Linked DNA regions of Mus musculus: all the other regions are reported to be linked to region 4. Evidence: microRNA targets listed by miRTarBase, many of them from high-throughput screens and not tested one by one. Region 4 holds a microRNA gene; each other region holds the end of a gene's coding sequence.
Evidence for each region. Region 4 holds the annotated microRNA mmu-miR-3971 (CUCCCCACCCCUGUACCAGUGA, at 4,225-4,246, opposite strand). A microRNA usually pairs through its seed, bases 2 to 8, with sites in the 3' UTR of a target mRNA and lowers its output. Matches are read on the target gene's strand: a 7mer-m8 pairs with bases 2 to 8, a 7mer-A1 pairs with bases 2 to 7 and ends in A, and an 8mer does both.

Region 1 (7,115 bases), not on the chromosome of region 4:
CTGGGCTCAATCCTCAGTACCACATAAACCAAGTGTAGCACACAGCATTTAGGAAATATAGGCAGGAGGATCAGAAGTCAAGGTCAGACTTGGCTACATAGTGAATTTGAGCGGAACCGTGGATGCATAAGACACCATCATATAAATGTGTGTGTATACATAACATATGAATATGTATATATACACATATACATATGTATGTACACACACACATATGAAATGGATACATGGAATAGATGCTTGAGAATTTAGCCATTTAGGGCACCAAGATTGGAGACTAAACCCTATGCCAACACTGCAGCAAACCCTAGCGCTGCTGCAGTATTATGGCTGGCGGAGGCTCAGCCCCTTTACCATGTTTACAGACGTGTCTATCGATTCTGACCATGGACCACCAGTTTCCCCTGTTTACTATGTGTAGGGTTCCTTTTTATCACAGGCCTTTTCATAAAGACAAACTGTAGAAATCAGATGTGCCCAGCTGTCTTCTAAGCTCTCTTGATGGCTCATGTGGCAATAGAATATACTAATATCGGCAATAAATGGAGACTTACTGTCATGAGTGACAAATGTTTGTTGACCTGGCAGGGAAACAAACTGCTTTTGGCTCCATGTATCCAGGATACACATCCAGGCTGAAGGGGTGTCCTTCCCGGTGCAGTCATTAAAGTGGTACGAGACAGCAAATTATTGCTGGCTTGGCTTGTGGCTTTTTGTTTGTTTGTTTGTTTGTTTCATTTTAATAAAAATGAGAACAACAGGCCAGTGGAAACCTGCTTTAAACCTGACAAACCATGAGCAACACCCAAACACTTCCACCATGGCTGCTAGAGTTCAAGTTCTTTCTGATCATGGTCTTTAAAATGCCTTTGGAGCCTCTCGAAGCAGCTCTTTGAGCCACTCGTATGAACATCTAGATAGGAAGTGATGGTTTTAAATTTGACTATTTTCATAGAATATTAATAATGAATATGGTTTTTCAGCCACATACAGATTTTGAATTGCAGCAAAGGTTGATTCCTTTACAAGGATTGTTGAGAGTCATGTGTACTTTACAGCATACTCTGGAGGTCCTTTCATGGAGCCTGTAGAAGTCTAGCCTGGAATTGGGCTAGTAATAACAATTATTATGAAGGCCTTCATTGCAAAAGAAGGAGGAGAAATATTAAAGGTTTGTTATAAGCAGTTTGGAAGGAAAAAAACCCTAAGGTGCTTTTCAAAAGAGTAACGAAATTGTTCTGAGCTAAAACAGCAATACTGTGTTCCTCATTAGTTCAATAGGAACAGTGAAACTGTCATTTCACTAATAAACTGAGTAAACTTACGGTGAAAACAGTGTAATATGTTTTAATGAGCCACTTGAGAAAGAATATGCTCGTTACTAAGATAAAATGTGCAGAAAAATCCTTGCACGTCTATGCATAAACTATTAGCTATAACTTCTGCCGTTGTGTTTCCCTGTAGGTCTACAATATAGATTGTGGTCTAGAAATTAGGATAAAAGTTACCTTCTCCTTTTCTTAGAAAAGACCAATGAGCACAATGGTGTTAAGTCACTTAACTGTTCTGATGAATAATAAATGCAATAACTAGATCCTGAGTGAGACGCTGTCTGTCTGTCTGTCTAAATACACTGAACCTTTTCAACCTTGTAGTTCTATCAGTGACCAGTTATATCGATGTAAGATTTTCATACCTTCCTACTCCTTTGAGAATTGATGGGTTTACTACCACATGCTGCTGATTACATTAAAAAACAACAACAACAAAAAAAAAACCCTGCCTTTTAGGTAATGTGTTTTCTATGTTAATAGGAGTGAGTTCTCTTGAGTTTTTAACATGACTGTCAAAATGTACACCTTTCCTTCCCCACTCGATCCTTGCATTGTCTTGTAGGTTCCTTGAACTTGACATCTGGGGAGAACCTACCTGCTCTGATGGCAAATGAGTCAACTGCTTTAGCTCTCCTGTCCTGCCCAGCAGAGAGACAGTTACCCCCACTTCGTCACTCTGCCACTCTCCTGACAGCGTTTGCTCCTCTACCGCAGGCCTGAATTCAGAGTGTAGGGTTATACAGAACCCAGATTGGTCCATTGTGCTGAGGTTTCTGCTGTCAAAGGAGATCATTTCTTAACAATACCCAGTCTTACAGTGCAGGGGTGTTTACGTTTCTGAGTAAGATGTGTGTACTTATGGGAAATAAAAGCATGTTTAAAATTACGTAGAAATAATGTTGCTTATTGCAAAGTGGAGAAGGGAAACATAACTATTACTATTTTAATTATTGTTGAAAACTCACAGTTTATTCCATAAGGTTGTATTGTATCAAAAGCCAGTGACCTACAGATCCCCCAAAGACCAAGAAGTGGTATAAACTTAGTTTGTTTTCTTGTGAGTGGTCTTTGAAGCAAGCCGACTGAAAATACATCTGAGAGTATTTACTGTCTAATTACACTATTTTGCTGTAACAGAAAAGGCTGCTTTTGTATTTAATCTAAAGAAACTAGCAAGAAAAACAAAGTCAATTTTTATCCTAAAAGGAAAGAAAATCTTAAGGCTTAAAGTGTTTTCATCTCTTTTTTTTGTCTTAGTAATTCCATGGTTACCATTTGGACTGGCAGCATTTAGGAGTCTATCTACATGCCTCCACACACATGCTGAATTGTTCCAACAGTTGAAAACTTTTATGAAATGATTTGCCTTGGTCTCGTAAACAATTAGGATACGGATATTAAATATCCTGGCTTGAGGAAGTCATTTAGGTTTCATCAGCTGTTTGTTATACAAATGAAACCATCTCTGGCATGAATCTCTTAAGGAATCTCTCTGCACAAAACCTGAAACATTTGGGGGACGCAGGGGAGGGATTAAAAGAACCAAATTTACCATTCTGTGGTGATTTCTTAGGCAAAAATTTTAAATGTCAGGAGAATTGGCCTGAATGCTTTTAAACTGAGAAAGTTGGTTAAAGATATCGGGTATGTAAGTAACTGGGGACAGAAGCAGAAAGGGTAGCTCTGACCATTCAGGTGTACTGAATCTTATGGCTTGTTGGGGAGGTTTGCTACCACACCAGGATGGAACTGATCACATAACCGGTGTGCTTTAGCATGGAGACTTCTTTTTGTCTTGTTCTTTAAGTGATGTTTAGTCTTGCTTTTAAAATCCTGGCTTGGGTGATCTTGATTGAATGTGGTCCAAAATTAAAATTTTAAAGATAGCTAAAAACTACAAAATTTAGGTGTGTACTATCTTTAAATAATGAAAGTTTTGCAGGAGAAAGGTATTTAAAAGTTACCACGATGTGGTGTGGCTTTATAGTTGCCAGTATTGGATAAGTAACAATAATAGTTTTGGTAGTTGACAGCCCGAGTCCAGTGGGAAATTATAAGGAAACCATCCCACACTAAAGGTTTTGAAATTTCTATTTAGGAGTTCTGGAAAGAAGTTTCTATACCCATGAAAGGGGGTTAAAGGAAGGAGACTGGGGAGGGGCACTAGTGGCCTCCATAAATTGAATCTCTTATCCTTGTGCTGTTAAGGGCCAAAGATGTGACCACCACTGTAGAATGCAAGCCCTTGATTAGTAGCCATCAGCCTCAGGGACTTTACAGGGACCAGAAGCAAGGGAGGGGTTTTCTGTTGAGGCTGAGCAGTGTGGCTACACCCGCAGATTACATTGCATAAGGAGCAGTGGACATTATAAATATTGAGGTCCAGATTTTCAGAGTAAAGATGCCAACGCGCATAACACAAGTGGGTAGGTCAGATGGTTTTGAGTTTAAAAGAAAATGATAAAATGTTCCCAGTAAAAAAGAAACCTTAGAGTTTTATAATGTTTTGGGGGAGGCAGCTTACCTAGTAAGTTTAGATTGTCTTGGAGTTTTACAGCCTCGTGTCTACCTATCTTAAGCTATTTTGAGAATCATTTCTAGATCCACCAAGCTTGTGACAAATGATCCCTCCAAACATGGGCAACCATCTGAGACGCCAGGACTGGAGAGAAATGAGTCCTGGGGTAATTGCTGAAGCCGTTTCATTGGCATCAGCTGGCATCAGCGGTGTCCGAGCAGGTTTGATCTGAAGGAATGATAGCTCTTTGAAAAAGTTTCCTGTGGTTGTAAGATTAATCCTGGAACTCAGAAAGTCATTTCTAATTTGACCATGCTGCCACACTTTCCACAAAGCCACAACTCAGAGTTCCAGGCCGTGGTCAGAGTTCTGAAAGCAGCCCTGGGGGGTGTCATCTCTGAGTGGGCACTTGCTTGTAAGTATTTATTTTCCGGAGCCCACTCAGGAGCAGAGAGAAGCTATAGGCTGTTACAGGGGACAGAACAGTGAGTCAGAAGGCTTCCTCACTAACTCAGCGGGAAATCCCTGAAGCCTAGCTAGGTAGGGCTTGTTATCCACAGGCCAGCAAGGGAACATGGAGGGCTTGTGCTAACCCCTCACTAAAGCGGTGTTTGTTCCTAGTTCTCAGATGTCAATAACTATTTTAACTCCACCCAGTAAGTACTTCAGAAATGATCTCTGCAACCAGAATATTGTTGAAAAGTATTTATTTACACCATAGTCAATAAGCCATCCATTATCTGAACTCCAGTTAGTGGTTTTTTTATGTTAGAATAGATTGTTTCTCTCTCCACAACTATTAAGAGCTAATAACCAAACAAATCAGCGGCAGTGACATTGAAGCACATTCTCACCTGAAATTTGGCTACAAAGGTAACACTTTTAAGTCACAAAACAGAGCATACAAAAATATACTTTCTAAAAAAATTCCAAATATTAATAGGCAGAAATATACAGCCATACTTAAACCCAAGGAGTGATTTTTCTGTTCCCATAGTAAGGCATCCTGTACACATGCAGACCCTGTTAACACTGCCCACATCACACAAGGCACAGAGGACACTTGCAACACCACTCACTGCATGCATCCTATGTACGTCCCCCTTTAAATAAGTTAGTTAACCTTTGACTCATTTCAAGAGATCATAAATGCTTTACATTTTTTTCCCGAAGGTTCAGAACTCGGAGAGCAGTGCACATCAAAAATACACAAAATCTAAATGGATATACACTGAAAAAATAATCTTTGTTCCTCAACTACAACAAAAAAAGGAGCCAATATTGCTTTGTCCTGCCCGACATTGCACTTCCATTCTCTTGAGTTTCTAGGACATATTGCTTAAGGGTTGAGATGGCCAGAGAAACCTCCATTCACTGCTCTAGGGCCAGAGTGCAGCAGCCAGGATGAGGCTCTGCTCACTGTACAACTCCCCACCCCCACCCCCAAGTCAGTCCCAAGCCATTAAAGTGCCACATCAGTTTTGCTTTAATTTAGTCTTTTCCGCTGTCCTCGATCAAAGGAATCAGCAACTCCCAACCTATTGTAGAAAAAGTCTCAGAACAACTGGCATCCAGGGTCAACGGAAAGGGCTAGCAGACCATAGTCAGACATCTCTCAGTCAGGGTCAGAGCGCAGCCCTGTAGGCCAGGGGCCCTCACCCAGCCCTCTTTTTGCTCCCCCATTTCTTGGAGTGACAGTCAACTCCCTTCAAATGGCCTAAGTTTTCGGAAGGCCGTCCGTGAGAAGGTGGGACAGAGCTGGGCTCCATCAAGGTCCTTTGCCCAGATCACGGGATCATGGGGAGGAACAGGGAAGGGTGGTAGTGTTGGCAGCTCGGACAGAGGGCCTCTGGGGCCTGGAGAAACTGGTGTGTCAGCCAGAGCTTCATCTCACGGTGTCCTGGTTCGAGAGGTGCAGGAGGCCAGTGGTCCTCCAATGGCGCTGTTACCGCACAGGCTGCCCCCGGCCTGCGAGCCCCCAGGACCAGAGGCTGAAGACTGGGCAGATGGAGGTGCAGAGGGAGCACTGCTCTTCCGTTCCTTCTGCCGAAGGTGGATCTTGGTGTGGCGCTTCCTTTCGTCACTCCTGGCAAACTTGCGGCCACAATAGTCACAGGCAAAGGGCTTCTCCCCGGTGTGGGTTCGGATGTGAGTAGTAAGGTGGTCACTTCGGCTGAAGTTTCGCATGCAGATCCGACACTGGAAGGGCTTGTGGCCCGTGTGGATTCGGATGTGCCTGGTCAGCTCATCAGAGCGTGAGAACCTCCTATCACAACCTTCTGCTGGGCAGGGATAGGGCCTTTCGTGCACTGGCGTTTTGCTGGGCCTGTTAGGGTACTTTCGAGGTCGCAGGATGGGCCGCAATGGCAGGTGGTGCGGATTATAAGGGGTGGCAGTCACTGCTGCAGACCCACTGCCAGGCAGCCGAGGTCCCTCACCACCTCCACTTGCTCCTGGTCCCGTGACTCCAGCACCGGGACCCCCCAGAGTAAAATTACGGATGGTAGAGAGTGGCGTGAGTGGAGGGGGCACTCGCAGGGAGTCCAGAGGACAGGGAAACGGCTTTCGATCTGGGCCAGCAGCACCGTGTGGATCTCTCTGGCACGGAGATGGAAAAAATCCAGGATAGTCTGGGATCATAGGAATGAGACCTGGGTCCATAGCTGGCTTGGGGGATGGGTAGGAAGGAGGTGGCTGGTAGGCCAGAGAGGAGGTGGAAGTGGTGGATGGCGGCGATAAGAATGCTGAAGGATCCTGGTAGAGATCTCCTGTACAGCCCGAATAAGGAGGAGGAGGTGGTGGCGGAGAGTAGAGGTGGTCCAGTTCAGGCTGAGTCTGGGACATGGTACACACACCCAGGGGTCCCGTGGCCAGTGGGTTGGGGGAGGCGGAGGTGACGCTGGAGGAGGCTGTGGTTGAAGCTGGAGGGGTGACCCCTTGCAAGATGCCCGCACTCACAATATTGATGATACCTTCTGGATAGCAGCTGGCACCAGGGTACTGTGGGTCAATGGAGAATTTGCCCATGTAAGTGAAGGTCTGGTTTCTAGGTGCAGAGATGGGAGCGAAGCTACTCGGATACGGGAGATCCAGGGGTCTCTTCTCTCCAGTCATGTCAATGTTGATCATGCCATCTGGGGAGGGAAAAGTCAGGGAAGAGGTGGGACAATGAGAATACAGGCAAGAACTAATTCACATACACGCATGCTGACGCGCGGACACACACACACACACACACACACACACACACACACACACACACA
Region 2 (7,115 bases), not on the chromosome of region 4:
GGAGAGTACATTGCCCTTTACCAAAATCAGAGGGCGGTGCTGAAGGCTCGGCATTTGGAGAAGGAAGAATACATCAGCCGGCTGGCTCAGGACAAGGAGGAGATGAAGGTAGGCCTACACTTCTGTAGTCCAGGCCCTGCCTAATCTGGGCTGGGCCCTTCAAGTTGAGCTCCTTTTTCTCCAGGTGAAGCTGCTGGAGCTCCAGGAGCTGGTGTTGAGGCTTGTGAACGAGCGCAATGAATGGCAGGGCAAGTTCCTGGCCGTCTCTCAGAACCCTGGTGACGTGCTCACCCCAGTGCCCACAGGCTCCCAGGAATTTGGTGCTGCTGACCAGCAGGATGGTGAGTAGAGCTGTTGTCTCTTGGGAAGGCACAAAGGGGAGGAGTCCCATGGCGTGCAGAGCCATGACCCCCTCCCCCTTTCTCTAAAGACCTCAGGGAGGTGAGCCTGGCTGACGATATAGAGCCTGCACAAGGAGAGGCAGGGGTACCTGCTCCCCATGAGAACCCTACTGCACAGCAGATCATGCAGCTGCTGCGTGAGATCCAGAACCCCCGGGAGCGGCCAGGCCTGGGTAGCAACCCTTGCATCCCCTTTTTCTACCGTGCCGATGAGAACGACGAGGTGAAGATCATGGTTGTATAAAAGACTGGCGGCCAAAGCCTCAGCAAGGGCAGCCAGAGGTTCTGCCCCAACCCACACCCTTCCTCAGCCACCCTTATCTTTATAATAATAATAAGGTCAGACTCCATCCCCTCCAGGGGCTGGGGAAGTAGCTCAGTTGGTAGAGTGCTTGCCTGCTGTGCACACAGCCTTGGGTCCCCAGTACCTCTGAAAAGGCTGATACCTGTAATTTGAGTGCTTGGGAAGTGGAGGTGGAAGAATCAGCCATCCTCATCTACCTAGTGAGTTTGAGGCCACACTGGGCTACATGCGACCCTGTCTGAAAAAACCAAAAGATCAGGCTCCTATCTTAATGGGGGACACAGACTGGTACAGATCTGCCTCTTAGCCAGGGCAGTTTTACTTTGTAAATTCCTGTTACAGAAAGAACGCCAGAGACTCAGTGATGGAGCAGACTGTGCTGGGTGGCCTGGGGGCTTTCTCACCAAGGAGGGCCTCAGGCCTTACTCAGGACTCTGGGGCAGAACAGAGTGGCAGCATTCTCGTGCCCAGGTGCAGTGCAGGCTGGTAAACTGGCCTAGCATTCAGCAGGGCTTCTAAGTTTTCACCGGCTCAGTCCTCCCTATCCTCCTTTTCCTCCCCGCCCCCATTTTATCTTCATTTTCTTTACGGAGTGTCTCCTGTAGCCCGAGCTGAGCCCCTGCCTCACCGCTGTGCCTGGTGGTTGGCAGTGCTAAGCAGGCACTCTACCAAGTGATTTACCCCCAGCACTCCCTGCCTTTTTCCTTTGTGTGGTGATGCTGGGGATGGAACCCAGGGCACAGCAGGTCCCCAGATCAACTCCCATCTTCTCAGAGGCACTTTAGGGCAGTGGGGCTGGGCAGCACTTCATGGGTCCTCAGGCAGTTGGGGCTAACTGCCTCAGGAAGGCATCCCACTTTGGAGGGCTTCCATCTTTTTGAGGCACTTTGGGACAGGGAAAGTGGGTACCATTCTCTCAGGCCTTATGACAATTGGGGTAACTACGCCAAGCAGGACAGAGGCTGCTGGGGCAGGGTGGCCTTCCCCTCCCCCGGTGTACATATTGTACCTGTGTACTATTTTGTATATACCGGGGTAGGGACACCCCTGTATCATAGTGGAGGTTGGAGCTGGCAAATGGGAAGAGCTTCTAATAATCACTTTGGGCTGGGAACCTTATTTATTGGTAGTGTTAGGTCAGAGGGCAGGAGGCGGAGACAAGGTTGTGGCACCTGCTGATGCAGCTCCTCTTTATTTTGCTTTTTACTTGGGAAATAAATGGATTTAGCCATACTGCTGGGCCTAGGGTGTTCGTCATTGGTTCTGGGGTTAGCCTCAGGCTGGCACTGAGCAGGGAATGTGTCCTGCCTGGAGAGAGCAGGCTTCTGGCCTGTATGGAGCCCAAGGTCTGAAGTGCCTGGCAGGGCTGATTGACACCTATCACCTATACACTGCCTATTGAAGCCTAGGGACCCCAGGGGGAGTACCATGGGGCTACAGGGACAGAGCTTCCTTACTGAGTAAGAGAGTCAAGCCTGACATATAGTATACATAGGTGGGACTCGGGGTGCAGCAACTAAGGGCGCTGACTTCCAGGCCAGGCCTCTTACATTCCGACCCTTCCCCTTAGTCTGTCCACACTAGAGACCTGTTTTGTTCTTTAGGCTGTTCACAGCATCCTGGCTGAGCTCATGATACTGCCCCCTAGTGGTGTAAGCAGGATTCGTAGGATGAGGACCTGCTAAACTCACAAGCACCCTAGCAAGGGCCTTTCCTCACCCTCCATTCAGTGCCCAGTTTACACCGTCCTCTCAGCCCCAGAGAATACAAACCAGCAGAGGTACACGCAATTCCCCATGATCCAGAAATGGGTTTTATTCTCAGCCAAGAGACAGCAAGACTGGTGGCTACCAGAGAACTGCACAGCTGCTGCTGCTGCAGCATCCCCTTGCTGCAGGGTTGGGATGGCCAAGGGGATGGCTGTTCACAGGCCAGGAGGACAGGGGGGCTCACTGGAGGTGGTACACTGGAGGGGGGGTTGTCAGGATGACAGCGTTCCCTTGTTGGACCACAAGACTCCACAAGGACAGCATGGTGGTTGATTCTGACACTACAGGCGAGGCTGTGTCAGCCATATATATGTATATATATGTATATATAGGTATATTTATAGATATTTATAGAATGTCGCAGGAGCAATACCACAGAGGGGCACAAGTTTTCACCAACATCACATCTGGATGTGTCAGCTCACCACTACAACAGACTAAGTCACAGATGATGAATAGGACGCTTTGGGGCCGGGGGAGCCACTGTCAAGTCACAGAACAGCTGTCCAGGCAGGCTTGGTAAGGGAGGTCTCCGAGGAGTAGGAGGGATCTGGTTAGAGGTCGAAGGGGGGCCTGGGGCTCTCAGGACGGGACGGACTTGCCTGACCCGATCGGCTGGCAGTTGGAGAGAAAGCCGAGAGAGAACGGAAGAGAGAAAAGGAAGGAGAGCTGGTAAGGCAAGAGCAGCCACCTCCAGCAGAGGCAGGGGCTGAGGCAGGTGTGGATGTGGGCAGGGTTCCCGGAAGAGATGCACAGTTGATGAATGAAAGGGAAGATGGGGTGCTGGGCCGTAACTAGCAGGTAGTCTGAGTAGAGGCTGGTGGCCCTCTCTTGCCACACACACGGCCTCTCACACACCACCCAGGCAATGCACCACAGGGCCTCCCTCATTTTTGCTCACTGTCTCTCATCTCACTGGCTCAGGGCCACCCCAAGCCTCAGGGAGTCCCATGTAACAGCCATGAGGCCAGAAGTGCTTGAACCAGGAGATTGAAGCTAAAGGGGATGGCTGGAGGGAGCGCTGGAGGCCCCTCAGGTGGTCAGAAAGTCAGGAGTCCTCTGAGGGGACCCTGGGGAGGCTGGGAGGCAGGCAGCCGATGCCTGCGGCCACAGACTTATAAGTCTAAGAGGGGAGCCTCCGTTGGTCGGGGGGCTGCAGGTCTCGTAGGTGAGGCTGGGCCCTTCCTGCTGGGGAAAAGCAGAAGGGTGAGCGTCAATGGCTGGGGAAGAGTTGGGACAGGGTAACCGAGATCTGTGGCCAGCCAGGCAGAACTCAAGTTGACTTTCCCAGTCAGTAGACAATGCATTGCCTTCGGCTAAAAGGCACAGGTCACTCTGAAAACAGGTCAAATGTTGGAGCTGATGGGCTGGCTCTATGTCGGGGGCTGACGAGGTGGCTGTTAGCTACAGGTGTGCAATGTCAAGGATGAATGAGATCCTCACCTTGCCTGCGAGCCCTCAGGCGCTGGCAGAAAGGCAAAGGCTCTTAAGTTGTCTAAAGTCACCAGTCAGAGCCTGGCTTTGCCAGCGCGATTCTCATGCTTGCCCTGTGGTGAATTTAGTCGCCATGCTCCTAGGCTGGAAGGAGAAAGCTCTTATCTTGGCAGCATAGTTCAGAGTAGGTATGAAGAGGGGGTCCTAACGCTTCTGGCCCCTTCAGAGGCTGAAGACACCCTCTCCTAGTTCTTAGTCCCTACACTGTCAACAGTGGTCTGGTGTCTCCAGGGAGCACCCACATCTACCGTCTTGGACATGAAACCTGTTCCAAGAGCCCTCAGTTTAAGCAAGAAGGCCTTGAGTAGTGGCGCTGAGTCCCGAGGCTCACTGGAAAGGGAAGTGAGAGAGCCAGCTGGAAGAGGACAGGAAGAGGGAGTCCAGAGCTGCAGGAGAAGGAGGAGGGGCCTGGCTCAGGGGTCCCAGGTGTCCTCAGCATGGAGCTGGTGCAGCGAGGAGGGAGGGGTAGACACACTGTTCATGCAGCAGGCTGAGAGCATAACCTACCGTAGCTGACACTCCTCAGGGGTCACTGATAGTGATTCTGAAAGACAGCACGAAATCAACAGGGCAGTTCACAAACACACAGGTGGGCCAGGCTGGGGGTTAGGGGACACACACACGCACACGCCTGGGCGTGCACACACATGCTGTGAGGCCTTAAGGCCCTGCGTGCACACGTTAACACACATGCCCACAAACACGCATATATCTCCCTCCCACCTCCCAGTGCCCAGCACCATTGCCGGCCAATACGTCGTGCAGCACGGATCTGGGACATGCAGCCACTCAGCACACAGAAGCACACGCATGAGCTGTCACAACACAGAAGCTCGCCTGCACAGAGAAGGCCTTTGCACCAGCTCCCTGCACATCCAGGCCTGGTGTGCTGACAGGGTTACCATAGGGCTCCGTAAAGGACAGGGCTTGCACTTTAGGATCCAGCTGTCATTTCTTTGCTCAAGAACCTTCCATGGCTCCCTATATCATTGAGTCTCTACAAATCTCCAACCTACCCCACCCTACCATTGACCATTAGTAAAGCAGCCCACTGTCTCTGTCAATCTCACACTCCCCTGGGGAAATGTCAGGGGACACACATGTATTTAGAAGGAAACTAAAGCCCTGAGAGGGAAAATGACTTGCCTAAGGGAAGTGAACCAGCATTTCTGGACTCCCAGTCCTGTCTTAACTGTTCCAGACATTAGAGTCCCACAGAGTAAGCCCATCCCTGCCTCGTTTAGTGTATGGGGGCTAGGCCCCTAGCTCTGTCCTTCAGTCATCTAGATTCCCAGATAGATGCTTTTGGTCTATCAGATCATGTGTTCTTTCTCAGAGACCAGCCACAGTCAGCAGAAACAGGGCAGACTGAGTTGGTTACTAGAGTGAGCTTCCTGGAAGGCCAGTCATGGATAAAGAAGGCAAAGCCAAGGGATGAAGTATATTCCTTTTTCCTGGAGATCTCTAGCAGCAGGGTAGTCTTTGATCCTTGTCCCTACCCACCATCTGGTTTCAGACCACCAGACTGTTCACCATTCCTAGATCCCATCCCCAGCTGCTTTCTATCCTAGTCCGCACCTGGGTGCCGATCTCACATTCACACCCGTGTGCACGCCCACATACACATCATCACACCTTGCTTGGTCACACAGTCACAGCCTGGCCTGACACTGTGGGCCAGAGGCTGAACAGCATTCTGGGACAGCTCAAAAGAGTCAGAGCTGGGGAAAGTGGGGCATCAAGGTAGCTCTGAATGTAACTGAAGAAAACCACACGGTTCAGAAACCTAGACCTGAGTTAGGCTCACCAGGAGCTGGGCCGGGTCAGTGAAGAGTGGAATGGAGGAGGATGGAAGGCAAGGGTTTAAGAAATGCAAAGTGTGGGAGCCACAGAGAGAAAATGAAAAAAAGAGGGAAGCGCCATGCAAGTGCTGAAAAGAAGGGGGCAAGTGGTTTGAGCCCCAGAGCCCCCTTCCCAGAAACGACCACCTCCGGGACTCAGCGCCCCCTGCGGGGCAGGACCGCCTGCCCGTGGCCGCAGGTCCCTTGGCCTTGCATTACGACCCCAACGCCTAAGATGGAGAGGGTCGCTTCTGCTGCTAGGCCGAGGATCTATCCGACTCTACCTCCCTCCGGGTTACGCCCGCCTGGCGGCCTTTCCCGGGGCTTTAAGCCCCTACTCACCTGGGGACCCCAGGCGGGGCGCGGTTGGGGCGCGAGGGCACCTGGGGAGGGGGGCCAAAGGGGTCAGGGGAAGCCCCCGGCCTGGAGGGCACGGGGGGCGCCCCCCCCAGGGCGGATCCAGCAGGCGGAGGCCCAGGAGCAGGGCCCCGCGATCCGGGCCGGGCTGGGGGCACGGCGGGGGCTCGGCGCTGCGGCGTGGGGCTGGACGTGGGCGATCTACCGGCGACAAGAGCAGAAGAAGCGCGGAGCAGAGATGAGCGGCTCCGCCCCAACAGAGACCCCGCCCTCAGCCCAGGCTGTCCCCGCCCATGCAGCAAGCCCCGCCCACAGCGGCCTTAGCGTGGGAGCCTAAGCCGGATCCCCAGCGGCGCCACCCACCCTGCAGCCAGCGCTCTTGGCAAGCCCCGCCCCGCAATAAGCCCCGCCCTCTTCTAAGCTCCTCCCCTCGCTCCAGGTGGGAGCCCCCGAGACCCCGGCGCGCCACTGCCTGGTCCCGGCCCTCCTCCCGCGGGCCCCGGGTTGGGGGGCTTTGGGGCCGTGGGGGCCGGCCCTGGTACCTGCGTCCGGCCGGTACGCTCTGCACCTGCAGCCAGGAGTCGTCCACGGGCGGGGGCATGGGCGTGCTGACGGTGGTCGTGTTGATGTCGCCGATAATACTGAGCGCCTCCTTCAGTGCGTGGTACATGCGCAGCATCTCGTCGCGCCGCTGAGCCTGCTCGGCCGATTCTTCCATCAGTGTGTTCTGGTCCCCGCAAGAGTACAGGTTGGCCAGCAGCTCAGAGAAGATAAACTCCTTGGTCTGTGCACAGAGAAGGAAGGAAGGAAGCTAGAACCCGAAGACCCTGCCACCTTGTCGCAGGCCAGACCTGCTGGATCTGGGTACAGAACTGGGAGCTGGGGTTTGGTATTTCAGATGGCTACTTCTGCTTGATGCCTAAATTCGCAGGTCTCTTCAAATCCCATC
Region 3 (7,107 bases), not on the chromosome of region 4:
CGGGTGCCCACACATAAACACACACAGGAAATCGACCATGATGTCAGAGAAAGTAGAGCCAAGATAAGGGGGGCGGGGTAACGGGGCACTGACTGTAGAAATCTGGCTTGGGCTGAGGGGCAAGATCCAAGAGAACTTGTGGGCAGGATTTGGGAAATGGGAAAAGGGTGCTGAATGAAAAAGAAACCAGCGTTCCCTGCCCTGCCTTCCCAGCAGCAGCTACTAGGGCCTTGAGCAGGGCTACAGATCCTATTGTCTAAAGTTGCTTCTCACACTGAGCTCCAAGCTGGAAGGGGGTCGAGAAGAGAATATGATAATACTGAATCTCCTCATAAACAAGACATGGAGCATCAGGAAAAATGCCTTGCTCAAGGCCACTCAATGAGAAGGGGCAGGCGTAAGATTCTAGGATTAATGGAATGTCTGGGAGAGGGGTGACAGAGCCGAAATGTCCTGAGGTTCCAAGGACATTTGACCTGGACTCTTGAGGCTGATTCACAGTCCCTTTTGCATTACTAGGGGCTAGGGCAGGGGACCTTGAAGCTAGGACTGCAAAAGTATTAGCTAGCTGCTAGGACCAAACAAAACAGCTGGTTCCAAAGGAGGCAGTGGCTCCAGGCTAGCAAAGAGCTTCCTTGCTGTCGATTGGTTATGTGAAGTGAGGGCTGAAGCCAATTAGCTAGACTGCCTCCCTGGACCTCTGGGAACTTGAGAGTTGGGTCTTACCATCTTCATTCTCCACCAGGCCACCCAGCCCAGCGCTCAGAGCCCAAACCCCCAGAACCAGAACCTCGTGTCCTTGAAGGGTCTCAGGCTGGAGCAGAGGTACCACCCAGCCCCGAGACACCTCGAAGCCCCACTCGGGGGGCCTACCTGCAAAGCCTGGAGCCCAGTAGCCGCCGATGGGTGCTAGGAGGGGCTAAACCACCAGAGGAGATCTCTTTGGGGCCTAGGACACCTAGCAGTGGGGAGCCTGCTGGTGAGATTTGGTACAACCCCATCCCTGAAGAAGACCCCAGACCACCCGCACCTGAGCCCTTGGGATCACAGCTAGCTTCCTCTGAGCCAGAAGGCCCCAACATCCAAGGTAAGCACAAAGTGTTATATTCACCTACAAGCATGCACAAGCCTCAAACCCTATACTCCAGGTGTTCCTAAGCCTTATTATCCTCAGCCCCGCAAGGACCATAAGATTCATACTCCAATCCCAGGCCCTGGACTCTGAAGTTTGCTCTCCCTACAGGTGCAGCCCCTACCAGCCCCCCTACCAAAACCTCCCGTACCAAGTCCCCAGGCCCTGCCAGGCGCCTCTCAATGAAGATGAAAAAGCTGCCAGAGCTCCGGCGCCGCCTAAGCCTAAGAAGTACTCGCACAGGCCGGGATAGAGAGAGGACCGCCCCAGCAGGCTCTGTCATCAGCCGCTATCACCTGGACAGCAGTGTGGGGACTCCTGGGCAGGCATCAGTGGCTGGAGGGTCTAGGAGCCCAAGGGGTGGGTACCTCAGCGATGGTGATTCGCCTGAGCGTCCTGGAGGACCACCATCACCCACTGCCTTCCGGCCCTATGAAGTGGGTCCATCGGCCCGGACTCCTCCAGCTGCCCTCTGGGGGCGTCTCAGCCTGCACCTGTATGGGCTAGGGGGTCTGCGACCAAGTCCCGGGGCTACTCCACGAGATCTCTGCTGCCTTCTCCAAGTGGATGGGGTAGCTCGGGCCCGCACAGGGCCACTTCGAAGCGGACCAGACTTCCTGAGGCTGGACCACACCTTCCACCTAGAGCTGGAGGCTGCTCGTCTGCTGCGGGCCTTGGTACTTGCATGGGACCCTGGTGTGAGGCGGCACCGGCCCTGTGCCCAGGGCACTGTGCTATTGCCAACCATCTTTCGAGGTAAGACGTGGGACTTCCAGGAAGTAAGAGCAAGAAACAAAGACCCACCTAAGGGCCTCCTGTTCTCCCATGGTGCCCATGGTGGCTGGGCTTCATGATTGAGGGGTGTTCTAGATGAGGGGAGTCAGGACACAGAAACTTTTAGGATAAAATTGCCTCAGTCCTCCTTGCATCTTTAGGGTGCCAAGCGCAACAACTGGCCGTTCGACTTGAACCCCAGGGACTTCTTTACGCCAAGCTAACATTGTCGGAACAGCAAGAAGCCCCTGCCACAGCAGAGCCCCGTGTTTTCGGGCTCCCTCTGCAGCTTCTGGTAGAACGTGAGCAGTCCCCAGGCCAGGTGCCTCTCATCATCCGAAAGTGTGTGGGGCAGATCGAATGCCGAGGGCTGCGGGTGAGCTGGCTGCCCCCACTCCTGCTGCCTTAGACATACATACTCCTTGGAACCCCTTAAACAACACTCCCTCCCCAGCATCAGGACCCACGGATCATCTGTCCTTTTTATTACAAGAGCTTAGCCCTCATGGAGCTCAGTCTTTGGAGTGAGAAAGATGATTGGACTTTCATAAATGTCAAACTAGCTGGCAGGGGGGGTTAAGAAAGGAGGTAGCCAGGGGGAGTTAAGAAAGGAGGTAGCCTATCACTAACTCTCTTTAGTTTTTAAAAACATATTATTTGCTTGGTATGGAATATGTGTGCATCTGTGTGTACCACACCACAGTGCAGATATGGAGATAAAATAGTTGGTTCTCTCCTTCCATCATGTGGGTCCTAAGGATCAAACTCAGGTTGTCCAGCTAGTGGCAAAAATGCCCTTAGCCTCTAAAAAAAGAAAGAAAGAAAGAAAGAAAGAAAGAAAGAAAGAAAGAAAGAAAGAAAGAAAGAAAGAAAGAAAGGAGGTAGCCTAGTGTGGTGGCACCTGTCGAAAAAAAGAAAGGAAGGAAGGAAGGAAGGAAGGAAGGAAGGAAGGAAGGAAGGAAGGAAGGGGAGAGAGAGAGAGAAGGAAAGGAAAGGAAAGGAAAGGAAAGGAAAGGAAAGGAAAGGAAAGGAAAGGAAAGGAAAGGAAAGGAAAGGAAAGGAAAGGAAAGGAAAGGAAAGAAGCAGTAAGGAGGGGAGGGTATAGGACAGCTTAAAGCGGGCCCTCACTTCCTGACTTGCTTGGGTTAGTGTGAGAAGGCTTCCTGGAAGATGTGAACTGTGAAGTCAGAGGAAAGAGACTCTAGACAAGTGGTCCAACCTTGGGGAATTTAGAAAGCTAGGTTATGTGTCTCTGGTTTTGTTTTATTCCTAGTGCTGGGGATTGAACATAGGCCCTCATACTTGCTCAGCAAGCACTTTACTGTTGAGCTACACCCTCAGCCTTCATTTTATTTTTTGAGACAGGGTTTCACCAAGTTACCTAGGCTTACCTTGAACACACACTATATTATAGCCTAAGTGACCCTCCTGCCTTGGCCTCAGAGTGCTGAAGTACTAGGCCTGGCTCAGGGCCCCTGTGACAGCAATGGGAAGGCAGCCAGTGAAGATGCATGTGAATGGCCCTACCCTCCCAGGCCATCACATCCACAGTCACCCTTGTCCAAATATCCAGGCTTTGCTGTCTTATGGCCCTCCAGGAAGACGTTCTTTCTCTTTATCCCCAGGTAGTGGGGCTGTACCGTCTGTGTGGCTCAGCAGCAGTGAAGAAAGAGCTTCGAGATGCCTTTGAGCAGGACAGTGCGGCTGTGTGCCTCTCTGAAGATGTGTACCCTGATATCAATGTCATCACAGGTCAGCCATTTCTCCACTGCCTGCTCACTTCTTTCAGTTGTCACCTCCAGGCTGCTCTGGAGGCCTCCTGTGAACCCTCCTCTCTCCTGTCTGATCCTATTTTCATTTCTTATACCTGCCCTCTTCTCACTACCACTGTCAGCCCCAGTGACCCCTCCTCTGGCTTCAGAAGCCAGGGTACCTTAACCAGAGAGAACCCCTCTGTCCACAGGCATCCTCAAGGATTATCTTCGAGAACTGCCTACTCCACTCATCACCCAGCCCCTCTACCAGGTGGTGCTGGAAGCCATGGCCCAAGGACACCCAAGCAGGGCTTCCCTGGGTCCTGAGGGCACCAGAGGGCTCCTCAGATGCCTGCCAGATGTGGAGAGGGTGAGTCGGCCATGCTAGGAACTTTGGCTCATAGAGCAGCTAATACCAGTGTAGTGCTTTAAGCATGCCTAAGATGTAATCATCATACATGATCATCAATGCCAACAAGTACTTGATATTCATCTGTCAATTCCTGGGTTAAAAAAAAAAAAATCAAGGCTCAGTTTGGTGATTTGCCTGAGGTCAAACAGCCAGATCTGTCCAAACACAGGCTCTATCCAGGCACGGTGTTACACGCCTCTACTCCTAGCACTCAAGAGTCAAAAGCAAGAGGATTTCTAGTTGGAGGCCAGCCTGAGCCACATAGCCACTTCCAAGCCAGACTGGGCTGCCTAGCAAACTGAGCAAACAGATCTGCCAACCTAACACAAGCAAAAATACTGGCTGTGAGATCTTAGAAAAGTCCTTGAAATTGCCAAACACGGCATGGGTTGGAGTTCAAACCCTTCCATTCCAAAGCTAAATTGCTTTTGGTCTTAATCTCAACTTTGGCAAAATGCATTCCTAATACTAACCCCTCCCCTCTGGCTATGAGAACTTGAACTGAAGTGCCTCCACTCTAAGCCACCCCTGACTATCCTGCAAGTGCCACAAGGGTTCAGGTTTGCCCGCCTCGTGCCCACCCTAGCAACTCTCTCCACAGGCCACCCTGACGCTTCTTCTGGACCATCTGCGCCTTGTCTCTTCCTTCCACACCCACAACCGCATGACCCCGCAGAACTTGGCAGTGTGCTTCGGACCAGTGTTGCTACCAGCGAGACAAACACCCTCTCGGCCCCGGCTCCGTAGCTCTGGCCCAGGAGTCACCAGTGCTGTGGACTTCAAGCGCCACATTGAAGTCCTGCATTACCTGTTACAGTCTTGGCCAGGTGAACACCGCCCATCCCAGTCAGCCTCCCTTACACATTTATGCTTCCCTACTGACCAATCATGGGTTGGAATCTAAGGAGGGTCATGAGTGAGTTAAATTTGTAAGCTTGCCTCTCAAAAGGCCAATCAGGGACCACTCCCTTGTATCACAACTTATCCTCCTTTTGGACCCCGCAGATACCAGACGGCCCTCAGATACCCCAGATGGCGCAGTCGCACCGTATTTGAGGCCCAAAAGACAGCCACCTCTGCACTTGCCGCTGGCGGGCCCAGAAGTGGTGACTCGGCCTCGGGGCCGCGGAGGCCCCGAAAGTCCCCCAAGCAACCGCTATGCAGGCGACTGGAGTGTGTGCGGAGGCGATTTACTGCCCTGTGGGCGGGACTTCCTGTCCGGGCCTGACTATGACCATGTGACAGGCAGCGACAGTGAGGAAGATGATGATGAGACTGGAGAGCCGAGGGGCACTACCGACTTCGAAGATGAGTTTGATGCACCCTTCAACCCACACCTGAATCTCAAAGACTTTGATGCCCTCATCCTGGATCTGGAGAGAGAACTCTCCAAGCAGATCAATGTGTGCCTCTGAGCCCTCAAAGCAGGGGATGGACTCTGGTTACTAAGGAATTGCTTCCTGGTTGCTAAGGACCAGGTTCTGATTACTGGTGACTGGGTTCCAAGTTACTAAGGCCCTGATGACCTAAAAGGACCTGACCAGAGTTGCTCAGACTGAGCACCTGGTTGCTAGGGAGTTGCCAAGGGGCCAGCCTTCCATGCTAAAAAAATCATTCCCAATTCCTAGTGCCATTGTTTGGGGCCCTAGCTGCAGAAACCAGGCTCTTGGCATTTTCAGCACTGATGCCATGGCCCCTCTCCCGAGCATTGGGGCTTCTCTTGCTGCCAGAAACAGTTCTGCTTGCTAGGCTGGCCTCTCTTGCCTCCCCTTTGCAGGGGAACACCAATTACTGTGAGCATCACCCTGGGGTGTTAAAACATCCCTAGTCAACCCTCTTGCTGCTGCCAACCAAACCAGTATTAGCATTGAGCACTACACTCTCTCTCCCTCCCTTGAAGTATCTAAAGGCAATCATGGGATTCTACTTAAGGGAAACAGCACCAGACTCTGCCTCTACCTGTGAAAAGGTGGCCTGGAGCTTAGAGAGAAACAGGTGATTTCCCCTAACCCTCTCTTCTAGCAAAAACTCCGAGATGAATTTCCAACCAGCAAATGGAGACAGAGTCAGACCTTTCCTTTCCCCAGCAGCCCTTCCCCACCCTTGAAAAACTGAGCACTTAACTCCTCCCCTTTTGGAGGGACCCCACCTGAGGTATCAGGCTGGGGGATCTTTGGTACGGAAAATATTTATTGCCTCCATGCATGTGTGTCTGTGTGTGAGGATTCGTGTGCACTGGCCTGTGTGGAATGGATATGTGGAACTCTTTCAGGGACCATAGAGTGGGATAGGATTTTCCATTGCCTGGCACCCCAAAATCTTCCAATGGTGACAGAGTTAGGGCCCCTTCCTGTCTCCCACTTCTTTCCACCACTTCCATCTTTGTGAACAGTAAATAAACCAGTATACACAGATTCTGTGACTGAGTCCTTGGGCTCATATAGCCAAGAGATTTATTAATTTTGTAAGAGAGAGGGTACAGCTGAACCTTTTGGAAAGAGCTACCCAGGGTTGCCAAGGTGCCTCTTTGAGCTTTGGTTCCCCACCCCCACATTCCCCACTTAGAGGGTTAGACCTTATGAGACAAGCTCAGGACAGGCAAGGATGAAAACTCCAGGTAGACAAAGTCCTGGTCCAAAGAGGCAAGCACACTAACCCTGGATAGTCCCTATACAGAAATGGAGCCATCTCGGAAGTCTGTCCTCCCAATCAGGATGTTGACCACAACTGCATGACCATCCTGGCACAGCTGCTGGCCTTCACGAAGTACCTTGACCACTTGATCCTTATTGTCCCGTGAGAGTATCAATCCCTGGGCCCCCAGGCCCATGGCTGCCTTGTGATAATCTAAAAGAAAATATGTCAGGCCATAGCAGAGACACCCAGAGAGTTAACAGAAGCCCAGCTGGGCCCAAAACACCATGACACCTCACCAGTGTAAGCCAGGCTACAGGCTACATCACTGCCCAACCTGGGCACCTGCTCTCGAGAAATCTGGGTCCAACCTGCATCGTTTCCTACCAAGGCTATCACTG
Region 4 (7,115 bases):
TTTTCTCTGTATAGCAGCCCTAGCCCTGAACTCATGTAGATCTGCCTGCCTCTGCCACTCCAGTGCTGGGATTAAAGGCATGCACTACCACATGGTTAGTATTTTATTTTATTCTATGTGTATGGGTGCTCTGCCTGCAAGTATGTCTATGTGTGTAGGAACCTAAGGAGGTCAGAAGGTGTTGGATCCCTGAGAATGGAGTTACAGATGTTGTGAGCTGCCATGTGGGTGCTGGGGATCAAACTAGGACGTCTAGAGGAGCAGCCAGAGCTCTTAACCACCGAGCCATCGCTCCAGCCCCTCCACACTGTTTTTTTTTTTTTAAGATTTATTTATTACATGTAAGTACACTGTAGCTGTCTTCAGACACACCAGAAGAGGGTGTCAGATCTCGTTACAGATGGTTGTGAGCCACCACCATGTGGTTGCTGGGATTTGAACTCTGGACCTTTGGAAAAGCAATCGGGTGCTCTTACCCACTGAGCCATCTCACCAGCCCTGCTTTTATCTTTAAGATAGGGTCTCACGTAGCCCAGGTTAGCTTCAAACTTGCTATTAGGGGCTGGAGAGATAACTCTTCCACTACCTCCTAAGAACTAGGGTTACAGGCATGCGTCACCTTTTCCCTTCTAACCTGATATATTATTATAAAGTGTTTTCTAAACAGTTTCCTCTTCCTTCCTGACACAATCTGAAATGACTGCCTACTATTTGCTTACCTGGATGGTCTATAATTTAGGAAACCAGGTCTCTGGTTTTAGACCCTAAGTCTTTTTGTATTTATTCATAAAATGATTTCAGTCGTGGGGTATGGGGCTCAGTACTAGAACTGTAACGCAAGGCTGTGCACAGGTTTGGCAAGTGCTTTACCACAGAGGTACAGCTACAGCCTGCCTTCTCCTTTTAAACCAGGGTCTCACTGATTTGTCCCAGCTGGCCTCGAACTCACTCTGCAGCCTAGGTAGGCTTTTTTAACTTAGAGATCTTTCAACCCCAATTTCCCAAGTCACTAGGACTACAGGCCCTGTACTGCCAGACCTGACTAATTTGTCTTAGAAAACAAGGTCTTACAATATTAGCTGTTGGGCTGGGCGGTGGTGGTGCACTCCATTAATCCCAGCACTTGGGAGGCAGAGGCAGGCAGATTTCTGAGTTCGAGGCCAGCCTGGTCTACAGAGTGAGTTCCAGGACAGCCAGGGCTACACAGAGAAACCCTGTCTCAGAAAAACAGAAAAAAATTAGCTGTGCTGGCCTTGAACTCACGGTCTTCGTGCCTCAGCCTCCTAAAGCAGCTAGATCTGGAGCATGAAACCGCCTCCCACAGCTCAGTGACGAGTCTTCAGGATGAAGGGGAGGTTAGGTGTCTGCCATCTCAAGGAAAATCCCCGCAGCAAAGCAAGAATTGCTAAGGGAAAGGAATGCACTTTCTAGGATTTACCATACTCCGACAAACTGTCTTACAGGAGAGATGTGCCAGCTGATACCCCACCAACAGTGTGTGCACCTTCAACACTAGCCACTCCACCAACACTCTTGCTTCAAAGCATACTTGCCTGGCATATGCTAGAGCCCACATCCGCACTCAGTACCACACACTTTAGTTGCATATATGGATAGAATTAATTACTGATAATTAATTCAAAGTAATCTAGATGATGGAGGGTGGAAAAAAGACGAATTAAGCCTTCTACAAAGATTCACTCGTAAAGACAGTTGTGGTCTGAGAGTCGGCTCAGTGGTAGAATCCTCGCATACCGTGTGAGGTCCTAGGTTTAGTCTGTAGCACTGGAAGGGGTTTTTGAGGAGGAAGGACATGAGGAGGAAAGCCAGAGGAGGCACAGTTACATGTGCATATGAGCATGTCCTAATAAGACCTACTATTTTGTATACCAAACTAAAAAAATTAGTAAAAATATATTAAAAATAAAAGTCAGGCATTCTGTATGACCACATATAAGTATGTTTTTCTTTGTCATCTAATTTCCTCTTAATGTATAATTTTGTTTTTGAGACAGAGTTTTTGTGTAGCCCTGGGTGTCCTGGAACTTGCTCTGTACACCAGGCTGATCTCAAGTGCTGGGACTAAAGTCATGCTCCACCACCACCCTGCTCTTAATTTTTTTTTAAGGATTTCTGAGCTCAAGGCCAGCCTGGTCTACAAAGTGAGTTCCAGGACAGCCAGGACTATACAGAGAAACCCTGTCTCGAAAAACCAAAAAAACAAAAAGACATATTTCAAATAGGTAATGAAGCTGGGTACAGTGGCACATTTCTGTAGTCCTAGCACTTATGAAATGACAGGAGGAGAATTAGAAGCATGAGGCCAGTCTGTGTTAAAATAATTTAACTCTGTTTCAAAAACTGTGGGAAAGAGAGAGGGCAAGATAGTCCACGCCTGTTTTGGCTTGAGGGCTACCAGGGCTTATACTGGACAAAACTGCTCAGCAAGGAGCCTGAGGCTGACCTTGACTAAGGAAACCCAAAACATAAACATCCCAGCAATAGTCAGAGGGCTCAGGAGAGGGTAAGACTCAGAAAGGCAGGGAAAGTTTCCTGGTGGTATTGGTTACTCGTACCTAAGTGGTAACACTAATTGTGTTCTCTCCCTCAGGCGGGGTCCTTCTCCTCTTTCCAAAGCCGGAGGCCGGCCTGCCTGCAGGAGATTTCCCTCACGGGTTGGCTCGGGAGCAGTGTGGTCAGATTTCCTTCCCAGTAAAGAGCATGTATACTAATAGCAACTATTTTTAGCACCTGCTTTCTATATCTTTAAAATCCTGAAAGCAACTGTTCCTTGCCCATTCACCACTTACAAAACTTTCAGAGTCTAAACCAGGCATGTGGTGCGTACCTGTAATCCAGCCCTCCCCTCCCGAGGTGGAGGGAGGAAGGATCAGAAATTCATGGTCACCCCTGCCAGCCTGAGTTACACAAAACATTTAAGGGTCAAAAGACTCCCTCAAGCTGGGCAAGGTCAATCTTAGGATTCGAAACTCTTGCTGTTTGGATCTCAAGTCACTTCCCCTCAAATGTTGTCTCTTTCCTCGGGTATTCTTTATTGAGCATCCTGTCTGATTCCGCTCACTGTGGATTCTTCTATCCCTTCACATGCTTCTCTTAGATCTACCAGCCTCTGTTCAATTCTGCCTTCAGCTGACACCTGTGATCCAGGACCATTCCGCACAGGGATGTGTGCTTGTATACGAACTTGCCCTGTGTCTGTCTTCCCGAGCTGGGTCCCCTCTCTCACTAGTCTTGTCTCTCCTTGCTTATTCTGTCTTCTATCCTCCTGCCCCTGCCCAGCCCTGTCAGATGTAATGGTGCTGAGATGGTGGTGATGTAGTTAGTGCTGTCTGAGTGTTAAGCTGACTGCCTTAGTGAGGCCTCGAGGGCCTGCTGGAGGGGAAAACCAGCTCTGCTGCCAAATAGGAAGCTGGAGCCATGCTGCGGGGACAGGTGCCAGGGGGAACGATCCGCTCCGCTCCGCAGAGGTTGCCTCCTGACTCCCAGGCACACACGGGGAGGCAGCCTAAGCCCCTCTCCCAGCTCCTGGTTTCTTCTCGCAGCCACTTTGCTGCCTCCACTCTGCTAAGTAAAACCTGTCCTCTGTGCCTGAGCTCCTGGGCCTCATGGTAGGCCTTCCCTCGCCCAGATGACTCACTCTCCCTCAGTCCCTCAGCTGTACCATAAACAGGCCCAGCTGTGTCACATTCCCAGAGGGGAAAACAGCAGCTGCAGGCAGCCCCTCCCCTGGAGTTCAGGCCACTGGACAAGAATCCCCAGAGGCCATGGCCAAAAACAGTTTAGACCATCTTCCTTAGGGACCCTAAGATATCCAAAGATGTGTGCGTCTTTTCACAGGAACCCCCAGGAGAGGCAAAGACAGGATGAATGTCAGTCCTTTTTTCATATCTAAGGCCTCCTGAATCCATTCACCATGAGGGTACTCTCTGACTCTCTAATGAAGTCACAGAGCCAAGCAGTGGGTGACATTCTAGGTCTGTGGTCCTTTCAAGGAGATAAGCTTTGTCCTCAGCTGCCTGTTATATACACCCCGAGTTCAGAAAAGTCTGCATAGGCCAGGATCCAGTCCATCTCTCTTGTTCAGACTACCTACCCAGGAACTAGTCTGGACAAGTGGACTCAGTAAAGCTGAGCCATTCCCTAACTGAAACAAGCAGGCAGCCCTCAGCACATATCATGGGCCCATGCGGTCACCTTTCCGCTTCACTGGTACAGGGGTGGGGAGGGAAAACTGCCTTCTCCCTGCCACCTCCCATTCCACCTGCCAAGCCCAGATCCCTGGCGACACCCCCACTGCCTCCTGTCAACCTCTGCACATGTCATGTGCAGCAAATTTATCACGTAGAAGCCCTCTGAAAAAATGGCCAATATCCCCCAGGCTGATGGCCATCCACTGACTGCTTTGGCTTCCCAAGATATGGATGGGAATCAGAGGCTAAGTGGGCTCTGCTCTGATACCGGGAGAGTTTTACCTGCCTGGTACCTAGGCTCTCCAGGTAGGGAGGCAGATGAAATTCTACTTGGTAGAATAGGACTTCGCAGGATGGCTGCTGGCCTCACATCCGCTCACAGGGGGCTATTTGCTTCCACACCTGTCCCTCGGGTCCTTACTCACAGCAATCTAATTCCCCTGAGGTCATTTATTCCTCATGTTTAAAGCCAAACTCCAATGAATAAAATAGGGAAAGCCCACAGAGAGATTTTTCCCCCTGAACATTTTGTAACCACTCTTCCATAAGAGTTTCAGACCAGAACTCCCCATCCCGCCCACACTGACAAGGGTCAGGGTAATGAAGTGGAAAAGATATGTTCACAATTTTGGCTGCATCTGTTCCCATCTCTAAGCAACCCAGGCCCTGGATTGTGGGGTGTCGGCCCAAAGACGCCACCTCAGCCGCTGGCCGATGTTTGTGCTTCAGCTGACGGAGCGAACTAAAGGGCTGTACAAACTAGAGACATTGAGCAAACAGACCAGAGTGTGCTGACCAGATGTCCAGGGCAGGCTAAGGCTCTCCAGCACCGGTGTGTGCTTGCACCAGTGGATTGCCGTGTTCCTCCCTCTGGGATCCCCAGGCCCAGTGCTGCAAGAGACCTGAGCTAAACAGCCATGACAGTTGGATAGCCTTGGAACCTCCACACTGGAGGAAAGGACTATAGTGAGGAGGACAGAGTGTAGACTCCCAAGGCTCTGTGAGGGGGGAGGGTGGGAGGTGAGAGGTGGGGGAAGCTATGGGACACCTCCTTCTGGATTGTGAGGAAAAGGCATCTTGCCAACTTGGGGCCCCTTCTCCACCAATGAGTGTACCAGCCCACAGTCCATGCCATACAAAGCCCTCGGGCCTGAGAAAGTCCCCAATTGAAGGTTTCCCTGACAACACATTCCCCGACATTCCCAGGTTATCACAGAGCCATTCTGTTTAAAAGTCCTTATGGATTTGATTTAGGGAGTTCTAAAGGCAACCTTGAAAACTCTTTTGTCTCCAAAATGAAAACATGGACGGGAGTCACAAACAGAAAGAAAGTGCCACTGCACTGCCAGCCTGTGTGTCTGCGAGCTGGTCCTGAGGGCTCTACTTTTTTAAAGGCCCGTGCTGTGTCAGAATGAGATTCAGCTCTGCTCAGCAGAAAGCATCAGCAGCCCAGGGACATTGCCTAAGAGCCTCAGTCTGTCCTCGGTGACCCATTTCCTGTTCCCTCTCAGGGTTGACTCTCATGAGCTCTCAGGTCCCGTGAGAAGGCTCACGGGACAAAGGAATGTCCAGGGAGCTCCTCCAGCTGGGGGAGGGGTGAAGAAGGTGACTTTAAAAGTGCTTAGAGACCTAACCTGTACAACTTGGGGGTGGGAGTGTCTGCGGGAGGTACTGACCCTCTGTCCTCAGGTGGAGAGCAGTGTAGTGTCTTGGGGCCTCTAGACACAAAGTTGGCAAATGTTTTTCCATGAAGGGCCAGACGGTAAACATTTCTGTCTTTGTGGGCCATATGGTCTCTGTCATGACAGCCCAAGAGCCCCTGTGGCAGGAGCACATTCACAGACAACACATGAGCAAGCTGGCACGTTGTAGTTCAGGCAAAACCTTGTTTATAAAAAACAGGCAGACGTTTGGAGTTGGCCTGGGGTGGCAACTCATTGACCCCCAAAATATAGGTCCAAGATAAAGACGTCAGAGGACAAGCCCTATACCTCCCTTACAAGGGTGGATCCCCTCCTATCAAATGCATTACACAGTGCCTGTGTACCAACTAGCGCGCGCGCGCGCGCACACACACACACACACACACACACACACACACACACACACACACGATGACGCTGAAAGCAACCGACATTCCACAATGCCCCTGAACAGAACGTGTATGTACACTGGTTGCTTGTCTGAGTGCATATTTTTTCTGGAGCATGTTCATGGACCATACAGAAATCTCAAGGCCCTAGATAAACCCTTTACTCCTACAGAGAGATTATTTGTATTTCAAAGATAGTTTTACAAAGTATGAAGAGGAAAAAGCAATATGAAGGAAAATGAGATAAATGAAGCAATACAAAGAAGCAATTCAATAAAAAGACACACTGATGACAGTGGCCAGGGACAGGGAATACATCTGTAATCTGAGCTCTTGAGAGGGGAAAGCAGGAGGGTCAGGAGGGAAGGCCAGCCTGGGCAAAATGGTAAGTTCAAAAGCAGGCAGGGCTTATAACAATATAAAAGAGGTAAGAGAATGGATGTCTTATTAGAAAAGAAAAAGTTTATGATGTATCATTTTTTATGGTGTCAAACCGCCTAATTTTTAAAGGATGAAACATTTAAACACCCCTTTAGCCCCAGCACCTAGGAAGCAGGAACAGACTCTGTGAATTTGGAACTACCCTGGTCTACTCAGCAAATGCCAGGCCAGCCATGGCAACATTAGTGAGACTTTAAAAAAACAAAAAAATAAATAAGACAGAAGAGGACCAGCAAGAGGGCTCACTGTATAAAAAGGTATTTAATAAAAAAAGTTCATTCCCGCCGGGCAGTGGTGGCACACGCCTTTAATCCCAGCCCTTCGGAGGCAGAGGCAGGCGGATTTCAGAGTTTGAGGCCAGCCTGGTCTAC

Region 1: the mRNA of Egr2 is a reported target of mmu-miR-3971. Seed matches in the 3' UTR shown: 7mer-m8 at 5,281-5,287.
Region 2: the mRNA of Golga2 is a reported target of mmu-miR-3971. Seed matches in the 3' UTR shown: 7mer-A1 at 766-772.
Region 3: miRTarBase lists Ilvbl as a target of mmu-miR-3971. Seed matches in the 3' UTR shown: 8mer at 6,626-6,633 and 8mer at 6,611-6,618.

The regions. Positions count from the first base shown.
Region 1 is chr10:67,539,616-67,546,730 of GRCm38, reverse strand. Egr2 (early growth response 2) reads right to left here. Exons shown (of 4, transcript NM_001373983.1): 4 at 4,543-6,986. The coding sequence ends at 5,743. Ado (2-aminoethanethiol (cysteamine) dioxygenase) reads left to right here. Exons shown (of 1, transcript NM_001005419.2): 1 at 1-2,220. Among named protein-coding and RNA genes, the nearest start is that of Ado, 5.8 kb to the left of the region's middle.
Region 2 is chr2:32,305,976-32,313,090 of GRCm38, forward strand. It overlaps Golga2 (golgi autoantigen, golgin subfamily a, 2), which reads left to right. Exons shown (of 26, transcript NM_001080968.2): 24 at 2-108; 25 at 185-341; 26 at 431-1,938. The coding sequence ends at 645. It overlaps Dnm1 (dynamin 1), which reads right to left. Exons shown (of 23, transcript NM_001301737.1): 20 at 6,709-6,950; 21 at 6,152-6,367; 22 at 4,476-4,512; 23 at 2,496-3,089. The coding sequence ends at 4,491. Among named protein-coding and RNA genes, the nearest start is that of Gm23363, 8.7 kb to the right of the region's middle.
Region 3 is chr10:78,583,882-78,590,988 of GRCm38, reverse strand. It overlaps Ilvbl (ilvB (bacterial acetolactate synthase)-like), which reads right to left. Exons shown (of 15, transcript NM_001359302.1): 14 at 7,006-7,107; 15 at 6,487-6,919. The coding sequence ends at 6,741. Syde1 (synapse defective 1, Rho GTPase, homolog 1 (C. elegans)) reads left to right here. Exons shown (of 8, transcript NM_027875.1): 2 at 746-1,087; 3 at 1,244-1,888; 4 at 2,068-2,282; 5 at 3,532-3,658; 6 at 3,870-4,030; 7 at 4,674-4,899; 8 at 5,078-6,486. The coding sequence ends at 5,487. Among named protein-coding and RNA genes, the nearest start is that of Syde1, 4.5 kb to the left of the region's middle.
Region 4 is chr11:75,548,611-75,555,725 of GRCm38, reverse strand. Mir3971 (microRNA 3971) reads right to left here and starts at 4,297; the gene lies at 4,215-4,297. The region is part of intron 5 of Slc43a2 (solute carrier family 43, member 2); the gene reads right to left.